2 linked regions of the Notamacropus eugenii genome follow. The protein of the gene in region 1 interacts with the protein of each later gene in a biochemical or structural test. Links are inferred from orthologs where the notes say so. Each region holds a gene or a part of one and is shown in the gene's direction. Other genes may lie near its edges.

What was found.
Region 2: the proteins of SATB1 (region 1) and PIAS1 form a complex in vitro, tested with the Homo sapiens proteins (2 studies listed by BioGRID, with this or other methods). The link is inferred for Notamacropus eugenii from reciprocal best matches to the Homo sapiens genes SATB1 and PIAS1.

The regions. Positions count from the first base shown.
Region 1 is NC_092874.1:35,635,342-35,643,394, forward strand, and holds the start of SATB1 (DNA-binding protein SATB1), read left to right. Parts: upstream 1-4,955; 5' UTR 4,956-5,073; intron 5,074-8,053. UniProt on the Homo sapiens protein: Crucial silencing factor contributing to the initiation of X inactivation mediated by Xist RNA that occurs during embryogenesis and in lymphoma.
Region 2 is NC_092872.1:131,061,200-131,068,273, forward strand, and holds the start of PIAS1 (E3 SUMO-protein ligase PIAS1), read left to right. Parts: upstream 1-4,037; 5' UTR 4,038-4,120; coding exon 4,121-4,144; intron 4,145-7,074. UniProt on the Homo sapiens protein: Functions as an E3-type small ubiquitin-like modifier (SUMO) ligase, stabilizing the interaction between UBE2I and the substrate, and as a SUMO-tethering factor. Catalyzes sumoylation of various proteins, such as CEBPB, MRE11, MTA1, PTK2 and PML.

The DNA.
Region 1 (8,053 bases):
TCCCTTCTTCATTGGATGGTCAGGATATTCTTTCTTATGCCTATATCACTCCTTTACCAGAAACAAAACAAAACAAAAAACTCATGACTTGTATAAAAGGTCAAACTCTACCTGGAATCTGTCTACAACTGGAGGCCATCCTAATTTCCCAGCAATAACTCCTACTGCTCCCTTCCATGAATGTTAGACTCCAGCCACACCTGATTACTCTGTCCCTCCAACATCGACAGCATTCTGATGCCTTAGCTCAGCCCTCTCTCCCTTGCCTGGAATGCCCTCTCTCCCTGTCTTTGCCACTCCATTGCTACCTCTTCTTTAAAGACCCACTCAAACCTCACCTCTTCCAGGAAGCTCTTTCTTGACTGCCCTCTGGTAATGAAATGACCCTCCTCCACAAACCTCTTATAGCTTTGTTTGATTAACTCTCACATGCACTTGACATAGTATCTCTGAGGTGTTTAGACTTTACAAAGATACGATTGCTCATTGAGATCTGGAAACATGTGCTCTAAACTTTGTATCTGTCCTATCACAATGCTCTGCAGAACAGTTACTTTGTAAATGTTAACAATTATGGCGTATTGATGCATGGAATTTTTTTATACTATTTAGAATGGACTTTCTTTACAAAGTTATTTTTCAAAGGCAGACTCTGGGGAAATAGGTGTTTTTCAGGCATAACTACTCCCTTGCTTGCTCCAGTTTTGACACTTAGTAGCTCCTCCTATATAAAATGGGTATATACAATAGATGCTTACACAAATTATCCCAAAGGATTATTGTGGAGAAAGTACATTGTAAACCTTAAAGTGTGATTTAAATGTGAGTTATGAATTGTTTTGACATACCCACAATCACAGTTCAGCCTTTCATTATTCAACCTGGGCTACTGTAAATCTTCCTAACTAGTCTCCTTGCCTTAGGATTCTTTCCCATTCCAAACAATCCTTTATACAGCTGTGGTTCTGACGATGTTACTCATCTCCTCAAAAACCTTCCATGCATCCCTATTACCTGTACAACCGAAAACAAACGAGCCTAATATTTAAAATCCCCTATTCTGGAAAGCTAATCTGTTTTCCAGTCCTGTTTGATATTACCACTTTTACACATTAGTTATTCCAGTCACTTTGAACAATCAGCTCCACAATTTCCCCTTATTCTCTTCTGTTCCCATGCATTCACCACCTCACTCCTGGAACACATTGCCTCAACTGTGGTAGTTGAAACACTCTCAGGGTTTCAGTGGATGGAATAATGGGCCTGAAGTCAACAAGATCCAAGTTCAAACTAGCCTCAGACACATACTAGCTCTGTGTCTCTGAGTAAGTTATTAAGCTTCTGTTTGCCCCAGTTTCCTAAACTCTAAAATAGGGATAACAACATCTACCTGACAGGGTTGTTGTGAGGATCAAATGAGATTAATATACAAATCAAATTTGTAAAGCACCTATGTGCCAGGTGCTATATAAATCCTTATTGTCTTCCCCTTCCCTGAGATCTACCCACTCTCATCTGAAAGGGATCTCTGCCCTAGGTCATTCTTTTGCTTTTATTAAATTCTCCATTGTATCATATTTCTTTGACTTGTCTTTTATGCCTTATATTTGATTTTGACTTTGCATTGTGTCTTACATATCTGTTGTTGTTTAGTCATTTTCAGTTGTGTCCATCTTTGTGATGCCATTTGATTTGTTTGTTTTTGGCAAAGATACTGGAGTAGTTTGCCATTTCCTTCTCCAGCGCATTTTACAGATGAGGAAACTGAGGCAAACAGGGTTAAATGACTTACCCTGGGTTACACAGCTGGTAAGTGTCTGAGGCCCGATTTGAACTCAGAAAGATGAGTCTTCCTTACTCCATCCACTGTGCCATCTAGCTTAAGTCTTGCACTTAGTAGGTACTTGATTAATGTCCACCTTATTGAACTGCTTTACTCAAAAGAAATATTTCCCATATTAAGTTCTGGAATGTTAGCTAACAGTGAAGTAGAAATAAGTGGCTTATAAGTAATGTTTTGTATTTTTTTTTAACATTTCTCTGTTTTGTATTTCCATTTCTAGTCTTCAGAATGAAGAAGTTGTTCATAGGTCCATCACTATGTAGAAAAAAATCATTTATAGACTATTTTCCCCTTTCCATTCCATTTGGGATGTTATTCCCAGATGGAGAGGTTGGTGTTGGTTAGGCAGTTTGGTATTTTTGCATAATACAGGCAAAAAGACTTGATGTATCTGATGATTTGAGGAGGAGAGATTATTCCAAGAGCTTATGTCTTGTGAAGAAGGAAGTATCAGGTATATTATTCAAATGAGCATCCCACTTTATAATTTTTTAATGAGTATGATCCTCTATCTTTGGGGGTAGGTGTTTCTGTAGGAAATAATGATCATTTGAAAAAGTCCAAACGATGAATTTCAGCTCTTAATGCTTGTTGGGGGGGGGGGGGGAAGCATCCCCATAAAGCAGCATGGGAACTTAGACTGTCTGCTCCTCTGCCTTATTTAAATATCAGAGAAAACACAGTTTATTAGATTTGTCTGTTACAGCAGCTTCAAAGTTCTATCTGTTTCTAAGCAAAAGAAAAAAATAAAACAAACAATGAAACTGGCCTGCTATCGGGATTCTATTCACAGACACCTGGGAGAGAAGAACCCTGGGAGGTTTTTAGGAAAATCTGAATTCCTGACTTTCCAGGAACTAGACTATAAACGGTGCACAGGACTGGGAAGAATGAAGATGGGGCAATCTCCTTCCTACTCTCCTCCACAGTTTCCCTCTCTCTAAATACAATTATTTATGGGCACTTAATGGGAGAGCAAGCCTTGTGTGAAAAGAACACAAGTAAGTGTAGCTTCTAAAAATACACAGAGCAGCTTTTAAGCCCTTATTGTTGCAAACTGACATTTTGCAGGGCATGGCATAAACCTAACAAGTCAGATTCTTGCAAAAAAAAAAAAAGCCCAGAAAAGTAGACTTTTTTTTTCCTTCCTAAATCTCCTTAGCCTAAAAGTAAATAGTAATGACACTCCGTAGTCACACTCAATGCAAATTTCCCAAAGGGGGAAAAAACATGAAAATCAAAACAAAAAGCCAGCTCGTTTCCTCAAGTGGTTACGGGGCTTATTTGAGCGTTAAAAGCTGGCTTTTTCTCAGGCCCATCCTTTCCATCCGGAGCTTGCTCCCTAGCACCCTTCCTCGCCTGATTCCTGTCCTTGAAATATTGATCACTCTTTCCCTCTTGGTTTCCTTGCAAAACGGGACGCAGGCTCCCCTGTCCTTCTCACTTGGTTGAAGTGTACAGCAGTTGACAGCTAGGCATGTGGTGTATAAATATTGAAATAAATGAGCCGAAGGGGTGGGGGTGGGGGGACGGCCGGACGGACGAGCTGGACCCTCCCTCCACCACGTGCTCTCGGCAGGGTGCTGCTCTCCAGGATTGAGCTGCGAGTGGGGGTACAAGGCGAAGGGGGCAGAGGGCACAGGAAGAAGGGCCCAGGCAGTGGAGACTAACCCTAAGGGAAGCAAGAGGAGAAAGGGGAAGAAACGAGGAGCCCCCAGCCCCACCAAAGCCGGGAGATAAGCTCCATCTCCAGAGGCTGGGATGGGAGAGGAGTGTCTGCCTGTGTCTCTCACCTGATTTCCTTTTTCTCAAGCACACACACACACACACACACACACACACACACAGAGGCACGCGCACACACACGCACACATACACACAGAGTCAGCCCCCCCAAAAAAACAAGAGGAAGTCACAGCAGGGAACTAGGGCTGGGGGTCGGGGCGCTGGGAGGAGGATCAGACAGACACCGAGACGCTCCCTCACTTACCCCTCCACGCCTAGGGTGCAGGTTTCGCCTCAAACCTGCGGGCAGATCGCCCTCTGCCCCCCACGCCCTCTCTTTACCCTCTCCCTGCTCTCTCCTCATCTCCGGCTCCCCCCTCCCTGCTCGCCTGCCCCCTCCTCCTTTGACTCCCCTCCCCTCCCCTCCCCTCCGGCTCAGCCCGGGCTCGCAGCCTCCAGCAAACCTAGCCACGGAGGAGCGGAGCCGGGCGGTGGCGGCCGAGGCTCGGCCGGGCGGGCTGGAGGGCTCCGCACCGTAGACCCCGGGCGGGCGGCCGCAGAGTCTCCGCCAGGGGGAGAAGGAGGGAAGGGAGAGGAGGAGAGAGCGAAGGAGGGAGGGACCGAGACCTCGGCCCCGGGCGATCCAGACCCCGGCGCCCCAGACGCGCACCGAGCCGGCGGAGGTGGGGGCCGAGGCGGGGAGCAGTGGCGGCCAAGGCGCGGGCGGAGGAGGCAGAGGCAGCGGCGGCGGCGGCGGCCGCGCTGCCCGGCCCGCTCCCGCCTCCTCACCCCAGCCCGGGGGGCGGCCGGCATCCAAGGAGCCCTGGGACTGAATGCCCGGCGGCAGCCCCCAGGGCCGGCTCGCGGCGGGCTCTCCAGCTGGGGCTGCCCGCCGCTCCTCCGCGGACCCGGCCGGCTTGGAGCGCGGCCGGCGGCCGCAACTGCGGAGCGAAGCCGAGCCGAGAAGAGGCGAGCGGAGCGGAGCCGAGCGGAGCGGAGCCGAGCCCCGGTCCCCGCCTGCGCCCCCCGCCCCCGCCCCCGCCCCCTCCTCCTCTCCTGTCCCCCCCTCCGCTCCTTCCCCTCCCACTCAGGCCCTGCCTCCTCCCCTGCCCCCCCCGCACACATACACACACATACACACACACATACACACACACGCATACACACATTACCCTTGCTCTTCCCTCCCTCCCCCCCTCCTTTCTCCCTTGCTCGCTCGCTCGCTCGCTTCTTGTCTTTCTCTCCCCTTTGAACGCCCACTTCTGATGGGGGAAGAAGACAACTTGAAGTCAAGTTGCAATTAACTTCCGCGGCAGCCGCAGCCACGGGGGCAGCAGCAGCAGCGGCGGCAGCAGCAGCAGGAGCGGCAGCAGCAGCGGGAGCCGCCACCGCCTCCGCCGAGACACCCGGGAAGCCTCCGGGGCTGCTGCCCCGCACTCGTCCGCCCGCCCGCCGCCCGCCAGCCCTCCCGCAGCCGCCGCGGCCGCCGCAGCTCCCATGCCTGAGTGAGTTGGCTCTCGTTTGTTTACTCCTTCCCTGGGCCGTGTGCGGTGTATGTGTGTGAGGAGGTCTTTACAAACTTCTGCTTCGCAGCCCCCCAGGCGGGCGCCCCCCGTGCTCGGGCTGGCCCCTTGGGGCTTCCTCCCTCCCCTGCCCTCGGGCCGGGAGCGTTCTTCACCCCCCGCGCCTCCTGGTTCGGGCCCCGAGCCCCCCACCCCAGCATGGGCCGGAGGGCAGGTGAAGGAGGCCAGGAGGACTGATTGGGGAATGCCATTCATTCCCTCTCGGGGTGTGGGGATGGAGTGTGATAGTCAGTCCTCCCGACCACAGCAATCACACACACACACACACACACACACACACACACACACACACACATACACGCGCGCGCGCCCGAGCACACACACACACACACACACACACACACACACACACACACACACACACACACACACACACACACACACCTGCTTGGTACCCGAGGTAGACATAGGTATTTGAGGGGGGAAGGTCCCCTCGTGGAAGTGGAGAAGAGCCAGAGAGAAAGACTGGAGTGCGGGGTGGGGGGTGTCGGTAGAAATTCGAGGTGCCAGCTAGGCACTGCCCGGGAGCATCCCGGCCCAGCCCAGCCTGGCCCGGCCGGGAGAGCGGCGCCGGTGGATTGGCCTGAGAAGTTTGTGGCAACTTCTCCATCTCCCGAGCCCGAGCCGAAGCCGCCGCCTCCGCCGCCGCAGAGCCGCGAAGTTGCTCGCAAGTTGTTTCTAAGGAGTTGCGGCCGCACGGCAGTGGCCGTGACCGTGGCCGTGGCTGGGCTGGGCTGGGAAGGGATCACGGAAGGTAGGGAAGGAAGGTGTGCGTGAAGATAGAGGAGGGGATCCGAGGGACAGCACGCCTCGCTTCCTGGTCTTTTACCACCCGGTCGGGCCGCGGTCCTGACGGGTTCGGTAGTGTGGGCATCCGTGCCTTCTCCTTGCCCTCGGGACACCAGGACCACCTTAGGCACCGGCTTCCCCTCTAGCATGGCCTGAGACGTAGTGGCGGAGCATCTTGGACCCTCGGCACGACCTGATGTTGGGCAGCTAAATCTGAGGGTTTAGCAGAGGAGAGAGAGTGAGCTGCAGGGACAGTAGCAGGTCGGGGAGATTGGGGAGTGGGGACTGAGGTTTCTGGGCGCAGGAGCAGGGGGCAGGGGGGCGGGGAGAGGGTCAGACTGACCAGAGAAGGGGGAGGGCAAGGAAGAGCCTTCACCACTGAGCCACAGCTGCCTGTGGCCTGGACCCATCTTAACCTGGGCATTGAGAGTTAAACTTACAAGTATGAACCACAGAGTCGCATCACTAAATGCCGGAGGTTGAGACTTTGACCCTTGCGACCTTCCTCGGCTAACTTTCTGCAGCGTTCCAAAGGGGTTTCCAGGGAAATGATCTGTGACTGAGACTCCAAAATGATTATAAGAGAAGGGGGAGCAGAAGGGAGGGTTGGGAAGACCTTGTAAGAGTAGAGAGATGGTCTGCCCCAATTGCCCTGGGTTCCATATATACGTCTTTGGAGGCCAGCAGGGATGGGGAAGAAGAGAGGAGAGAGAGAGGAGTTGGTGAAATATGACCAAAGGTTTAAGTTTTATCCTCGGCAGCACCTGAAACCTAAAGTACTTCTGTTGCAGAGGAAGCTATCCCACTGAAAACTTTACTGAATTATTACGTTGCCCCTTTAAACTGAACTAAGTAAAAGATGGCCGAAGCAAATGTCAGATATATTCTCTCCAATCAAGGGCAATTCTTATTATGCAAAGGATGCGTAATTCTAAATTCTAGGATGTTAAGGTTCAAGTATAAGATCTAATAACAGCTCTTTCTTCTGTTCCATATTACCAGTGATATGATTTAGCTACAGTCCTTTCTTCTGTATATTATTTGAGTAGTACAGTAGTACATTCATATACTGTTTGCTTCAATCTGCTGGCAAGCATTAGCATTCAGGCTTACATTTTTGACAAATGTGCAGACAGGAATAACATGAATAGGCATCTTAAATATTAACAACCTAAGCATCTGTTATGAAACAAATTTAATATATTTACTCTGTTTTTCTCACATTGTTAGGAAAGGTTATAATAAGTGCATAATTTCAACTTTAGTTAGCAGAAGTAGCTGGTTGTATCTTTCACTACCTCTGCAAGGGTTTAACACAATCACTAGACATAAATACTTTAATTAACTTGGTTAGGCACATCATTAAATAAACTTTCAGTAATGTGCCCATCACATACAGACATAGCTGTGGTAAAATATGTATCTTATAGGCAAATGTTTTTTAATGCCTATACATTTTTGTAAATACAGAATGTACATTTATTCCTCATTTCAGTTTGACACTTATTACTTCACATTTTTTCTAATGGAAACAATATTTTAAGCACAGAGTTGTGCAGTCACATGTAATATATAATAAGTAAACAGTAGCTATAAAAAAGAAGAAAGCATTGTTATGTTTGACTACAGCTAGAATCAGGAGAAATAAAATCACTGTTAGGATTTGTGTTCCTTCCCGAATCCTGAATACAAGTGATGGATGAAAAAGAAACCAGGGAATGAAGGGTTTTCCCCTAAAGTAGTGGCTTGAAAAGAAAGAAAGATGGAAGAGAGATAGAAAAGCAAAGACCTTCCAAAAGCCTTTATGTTTTTTTTTTTTCTGGAATCAGTGCATTCCTTATACTTTCCCCATTAACCAAGATATGTAATAATAGTTTCTTGTTTTTTTTTAAAAAAGATTATGGAGACAAAAAGCATTCAAAAATAATGCCTTTTGTTCAGTTGTTTTAATAAATTAACCCCTTCTTTATATTTGTTTTACTGATGATCATTGTAAAATGAAGTCATTAGCTCCTTGGTTTAACCAGTTTTAATCCTGTAGTCTTTCGAGTGGCATATATCTGTCGCACAAAAGGTATAATGCCAGCTATCTGAACTTGTGATTGACTAAGAT
Region 2 (7,074 bases), on another chromosome or scaffold:
CCAGTGTTATTTTATATTACTCTCCCTCCCACTAGTCTCCCAGTTGTTCCTGTAAACAACATTCCATCTGTCTCCCCCATGCCTTTTCTACATACAAGTGGTCCCTCATGTCTGGAATGTACTCCTTATACCTCTTAGAATCCCTAGATTCCTTCTGAACTCAGGTGTCATTTTCTACATGAAGTCTTTCCTGATTCCCTGCAACTAATACTCTATCCCTGTTAAAATTACTTTGTATTTATTTGTCCCTGAACAGATTGTATACTCCATCCCAGAATGTAATCTCCCTGATGAGAGGAACTTTTCCCTCCTTAGCATTCCCAACATCAAGAGAAAGAAAGACAGAAAGACAGAGAGAGAGAGAGAATATATAAAGCACTTACAATGTGCCAGGCCTAGTGCTAATTATTGGGGACACAAAAGCAAGCATGTAAGACAAGCCCCTGCCCTCATATTGTAGGGGAACATAACATAAAAGTGGGAGTTGGAAAGGGGAGGGTGTTAAGGATGATGGTAGGAGTGCATTGGTTTCTATTAAATTTGGGTGGAACTGAATTGAATTATTCAAACGATTTAAAATCCTCCAATGGGTCATCTATATTTTTTTATATTCTGAAAAATTTAGATTATGAGTTTTAGTAGCTCTATTCTGAGCTTGAGTAGTTCTGAATTTCTCAAACACTCTTATCTAAATGAACTCCTAATTTTCACTATGGCACAGAGGTGTTTATAAATTTTTACAGAGACTTTTCATAATTTTACCTCAAGAACAAAAATATCCTAGAGGTATTTTTGCTTTTGTACTCTGTCAAGAGTCCATTCCACTATCAGATCCCTCCACGAAATCGACCTCATAAATACCTCTGACATCAGGTAGAATTTCTGAGGTCTGCAGACCACGGCTGTTACTTGTACTTATTTTGTGTCTTTAAAAAGTGCAGAACTTGCATACACCTCCACACGTCACCCTATAAGTGGGTCACCCTATTGCTGTGGGTGTAGGGGTTATCTAATATTGTTCAGATCGACCTCCTTCCTATTGGCTCTATATCTAAGGGAATGACATCATGGAGAGAGAAGCTCCAAGGGTATACATTGATTCAATTCAATTCCATTGTTGGAGTGCGAAGCCAACTATGAGGTCAGGCCTTCAGAAGAATCGTGCATTAGCTGTGTTTGGAGATTCACTGTGAATGAACAGGGACATAATTCAATATGCCAAGAGTAAGGAGACCTTGCACCTGGCAGTGCAGGTGACATGTCTTTCTGCTATGTTGGGATTTCAGGGATAGCAAGGAAAGACCCAGGCTTACTTTTCCTTATCAATCAATTAACATGTCCAATATTGTTTTAACTTGGAATAAAGCTTTCCATTCCATAATAGAAATAAGGCCTAAAATGCCAGACTGCTGAGAAGATACCATTGTGCTTATACTCTTGTATAGTAATGTGTCAATGACTATCTCTGCAACTATTAATGCTATCTTCTTGTTAAACTAACTTTTATGTAACTTTATGTAACTATGTAACTTATGTAACTTTTATGTAACTTTATCCATATGTTTGTTATATTCCCGCCCTCCCCCAAGTAGAACATAAACTTCTGCTTATAGGAATTATTTTGTATCTCTGCATCTTTGGAGGACCATCTCTTCCACAGCTTCCTGGATCACCACTTCTTGCCCACTCCAGACAGGCCCTTGAATGAAGGAGTTCAAAACCTGGGATCCATGCATAGATTTTAGGGAGGGTTTATGGGGAAAATACACATTTATTTTCACTAACTTTTAAGTGAAAGTTAGCATTTCCTCTAATTACTAATGGGCAGCTAGGTGGTGAAGTGGATAGGACAATGGGCTTGGAATCAAGAAAGCTCATCTTTATGAGTTCATATCTTGCCTCAGACACTAGCTGTGTGACCGTGGGCAAGTCACTTGACTCTGTTTGCCTTAGTTCTTCATCTGTAAAAGCTAAAGAAGGAAATGGTAAACGATTCCAGTACCTTTCCCAAGAGAACTCCAAAATGTGGTCATACGCATTGGATATGACTGAAAAACCAATTGTTAATATAGGCAACAAAACATTATTATAAGACAGGGTGCACATAGGTTTCATAAGATGGCCAAAAGGGTCCATGACACCAAAAATATTAAGAACTCCTGGCCCAGAGGAAATTCTGCCAAGTGATTCCCCCTCTCTCCTATCTAACTAGTGACTATTTTAGGAAAGCCCTAGTTAAGATTCGACTCCATCCTCCCCTTCTAATTCCTAAAGTGTTCTGCTTCCCCAGTAGAATATAAGCTCCTTGAGGGCAGGGAGTAGTTGTTTTTTCTTTGTTTTGTTTTATTTATTCCCAGGATTTAGCACAGGCCTTGGCACATAGTAAGGATCCAATAAAGGCTTTTTCATTCATTTGTTCTTTGTACCCCCATTGTGGAACATAGTGCTTTACATATATTTGATGCCTAATAAGTATTTATTGATTGTTGAATGACATTGGCAAAAAGTTAGCACAGAAAGATTAAGAAAGAGCAGAAGCAGCGTACTGGCAGAAGAGATTTAAGACCAGAGAAAGGGGAAAGGGTAATGTAGGGAAAAACTTTGACTTCACAACAACAAAAAATTCACTTCAGACGTTTTTGTAGAGAAACTTCTCTGGCTTCCTTCTAGCCCTGGCTAAAATCCCAAATTCTACGGGAAGCACTACCTAATCTTCTTTAATCCTAGTGCCTTCCCTCCATTGATTATCTACAATTTGTCCTGTATATGCCTTATTTGTACATAACAGTTTTCCTGTTATCTCCCCAATTAGGCTGTGAGCTCCTTAGGAGCAGGAACTTTTTGTCTTTTTTTGTATTTCCAGCTCTTAGCATGGTGTCTGGTACATATATAAGCCTGATAAATAGAATAGCTTAATAAATCCCATTTCGAGGATTGTGGAGAACAGAAAAGGTGTATAGGTAGAAAAGGATTATCAGACAACACTCCTGTTCCCCTAAAATATCTCTTTGGTATGACTAGACACCTTCCAGAAAAATTGAAATAACAACAGAAAACAGCACAGTGTTGTCAGGTCTTTGGCACTCCATTTGGGGTTTTCTTAGCCAAGATGGTAGAGTGATTTGACCTTTTCTTCTGGAGCTCATTTTACAGATGAGGAAACTGAGGCAAACAGGGTTAAGTGACATAGCTAGAGTTGAAGGCTGGATTTGAACTCCATCCTTCTGACTTCGGGTCTGGTGAGCTAGCCACTGTACCACCCAGCTGGCCCGGAAAGCAGCGTGGCATGATGTGTAATTAAAGGAGAAGTAGGCAGGTGCACAGGCACTAAGTGGAAAACAGCTAATGTAGTCAGAGGCGGTGAGTCTGCAATCTGAAGATCGAATCCCGCTGATACAATGACATGCCCCATCTTTCACCTGCGATCTGACTAGCCCTCCTCACTCGGACATTCGGGATTGTCCAGCCTACAGTCGATTCTACAAGGAGTTTGCCAAGCACCCACTGCCTAGTCGTGCAAAGGCATTAAATGGAAGATAACTGGAGACTCCCACAGAGCTCCTCGGGGCAGCTCTGGACAGAGCAGCGGCCTGGGAGCCCCCCAAAGCGTGGGTTCGAGTCTCGCCTCTGGAGCGTGCTGGCCGTGTGACCCCGGGCGGGACCCCTCCCCTAACAGCGGGAGTGACCCAGAGTGGGGAAGACTCCAACGTGCGCGAAGCCCTCCCCTGCGGACCCCTGAGTGCGGAGGGGTCACTGATGCTCCCTTCTGGACACCATTGTTATTCTAATGGGATTCCTCGGGTGGGGGTGGGGGGACGGGGAGTGGCGCTCAGGACCTACCCTCACCCAGAACTGGCTGATTACCTGGGGGGCGGGGCGGGGCGGAGAGGGGAGGGGGGAGTAACTGTCAAACCAGTCCTCTTGGCGCCATTATTTAAATAGTACGTGCCACACTCCTTGCTGTGCGTCCAGGGGGCAGGGCTCCGAACGCATTGGGAGGGTCCGGGAGGTGGAGGGAAAGAGAAGGGGCAGGAACAAGGGCGGGGCCAAGCGAGGGGAGGGAGCAGGACTAGCCGCGGCCCCCGGCGGGGTTCATTGCGCCTGCGCTGACAGTCGCAAGATGGCGGACAGTGCGGAACTAAAGGTAAAGCGCAGCTCGAATTCACTTCTAATATTCGGCCGCGGAGACGGCGCTGCGTGTGCCGAGGGGGATGGGGCTGAGCCCCGGGGCCCGTCCGTACCCGGCACACCTGAGCCTGGAGTGGGGGAGCGGGGTGGGCTCGGGCCTGGCGGAGGGGGCCGGGCAGCGGCGGGCCGCGGGCCCCGGGCGGCTCGGGGGCGCTGACGGGTCCGGTCCCCGGCGTGTTATTGTTGTGGGCGCCTCGGGCGGGGGTGGCCGGGGAAGGAGGCGGGCAGTCGGAGAGCGGGGGAGCTCGGCCGCGGCGCTGCCGGCCCTCCTCTTCCCTCCCGCTCCCGGGCGGCCGCGGCTCGGGGGCGGCGGGTCCGGCGGGGGTGGGTGCGGGTTTGGGGAAGCTCCCCACCGCTTCCTCTTCCTTCTTGCCAGCCCCGGGCTCCTGTCAGGAGCTCGGCTGCGGCCCCTCTCCCCTCCCCCGGGGAACTTGTCTCCGGCCGCCCCGCCCCTCTCCTCGCCTCCCCCTCGGCCCGGGACGCGGCTCTCCCCGGCCCGCCCGCCGCCGGAGGAGGCGCCTCGCTCGGCCCCCCTCGGATGCGGGGAAGCGCGGCGCGTGGGGGAAAAGGAGATCCTCCAGCAAAGTTTCGCGAGCGTCAGGCCCCGCGCCGCCCGCCCCTTCCCTTCCTCCCTCGGGCCGGGGCGCCCTGCCTGCTGCGGGCGAGCCGCCCGCGAAGGGTGCCTGCCTCCCGGGGGGAGGGGGAGACGGCGACGAGCCCCCCCCCCCCCCTCCTCCTCCCCCCTCCCCGGTCCCACGCGCGGTCGTCAGGGCGAGGTCAGCCTTTGGGGCGTGGGGTCTGCGCGCAGCATGATGGCGAGGCTCTTGAATGGCCGGTGTTTATATCCCCGGTTGCCTTTTGTTTGTTGGGGACATCTCGCTGGCCATGTTGGTTGGAACAAGCTCCTCTCCTCCTCCCCTCGCCAGCCCCCTCGTCAACAGCGCCTCCTCCGCGCTCCCCCTCCCACCTGTGTCAGTCCCTCCAGCTGCGCGCAAGGAAGGCGAGAGCTTGACTTTCCACGTCCCTATCTTCCGATAGAGCTCCCCACTCTTCTCTTCCTTCTGTACCTGCTGGGCATTTCTGCCCGGGAGCGAGTGTGGTGCTGCAGGAGGGGTGGGAGGGGGCAGGTGGGTAGGGGGTGAGTAACCGCTCGGGCTTGGCTTTGGAGGTGTGCGGCTCTGCTTGAATGGTTGTGTTTCAGCAGCTAGCCGTTCTTAAGTTACGGATCTGTCTTCTGAGGCGTCGAACCGGATCTTCCTTTTCATAGGCGGCTTTGCAAACCAAGGAGCCGGCACTGTCCTGGCTCGGGGAGGGGACTCTCCGTCAGAAAGTTAATATTGGAATGTATAACGGTAAAATCTTTGGTGGAACCCATCTTTAGAATAATTGATAGGGTGAATTCCAGTCTGAGGTGAGAGACTTAGGTTTTTCCTATAAAATTAATCTTGAAAAAGTCAAATTCTGCATTTGGGTGTTTTTTCCCCTGAGCAAATCCTTGCCAGAAAATAATGCCCTCCCCCTCCCCAAATTACTCGTCAGTATAAAACTTCCTCGTATATATTGAGACACTAGCTTTGAGTTGTCATTACATCCTTGTTTATCTCTGAACTTACATTGATTTGAAAATAACTGAGTTAGAAAATGCTTTATACTTTAAAACTTGGGGGAATTTGTATAATGGGAACATCGGAAAAGACTAATCAGGAAGTCTTAGGAATTTGAACATTTGGAGAACTTTTAACTGTAAAAAATATACTTGAGAACAAATTCTCAGACATTTTTCTATAGGTTTATATACTTGAAAATACAGTCAGTAGGTTGCTGTGATCTTTGCCTTCTATTCCTCATTTGGAAACCCTTTTGAATGTTGGCTAGTGAGTTCTTTTATACACGGATCACCGAATAAAGCAGGAAAGCTTGTGCTCTCTAGATTGTCACCCTTGATGCTGTCCTAAGAAGCTAGTATGGAAAGCACATGCTGGGGAGGTTTCCTTCTTTGTTCTTTCCCATTTTAAGAAAATGCCTTTGGGGATACAGCAGATCCCTGGTGTGATTCCTGTTAGGTGAAATCTCTATTTACAAAAATTAATCAGTATTATTAGATTGAAGCTAAATACCTGAAAAGGAACTGTCATTTACACACTAAAAGCAAGGTATAAAATCTCTCCGCAGTTCCAGATAGAAATTTCAGATTAATTTTGTGCCAAGGAATTGTTGGTGCCATGATGCCTCCATTGTTTAATTTTAAGGAATTGTTAGGATAAACTCCATGTCATTGTGAAATATACAGGAGCCTTAAAAGTTGTAAATGCTTAAGTGAGGTAAATCACACAGACAAATCATATTAATATTTGATGATAGTTTAATTTGTCGACATTTTGGGGACTATCCAACTGTGGTGTTCCTTTCAGTGAAAGATTTCTGTGAATTGAAATTTAAACTACTTCCGGAAGAAATCTTGATTTCTTTTTAATGCTTGAGTTTGAAGAAAATATTTTCTGGTATTCTATTTTTTGAGAAAGTACAATTAAACTTATGACTTTCTATGATAAGTCAAGGGACTTTATTGGAATTCTGGACAAAACTACTTTATTAACAGAGTTCAAATTCTGAGGAGGTTTTGAGCCCAGTTCCATAGCTCACAAACCCACAGTAGATTTTGCTGTTGACTGTAGTCACTGGTTATTTTTCCACCTCTTTTTAGTGACCCCTTTTAACTTATAATGGACTTAAAAGATCAAATGGTTAAACCAGAGCGACCTACATCACCATCAATATTGGTATAATACAGGCTACAACAGTTCAGGATATTGCCAATAAAAATTAGATTACAGTACCACACATCATAATGAATCTTGTATTCACATTTGTTAATAAAAGGGCCAA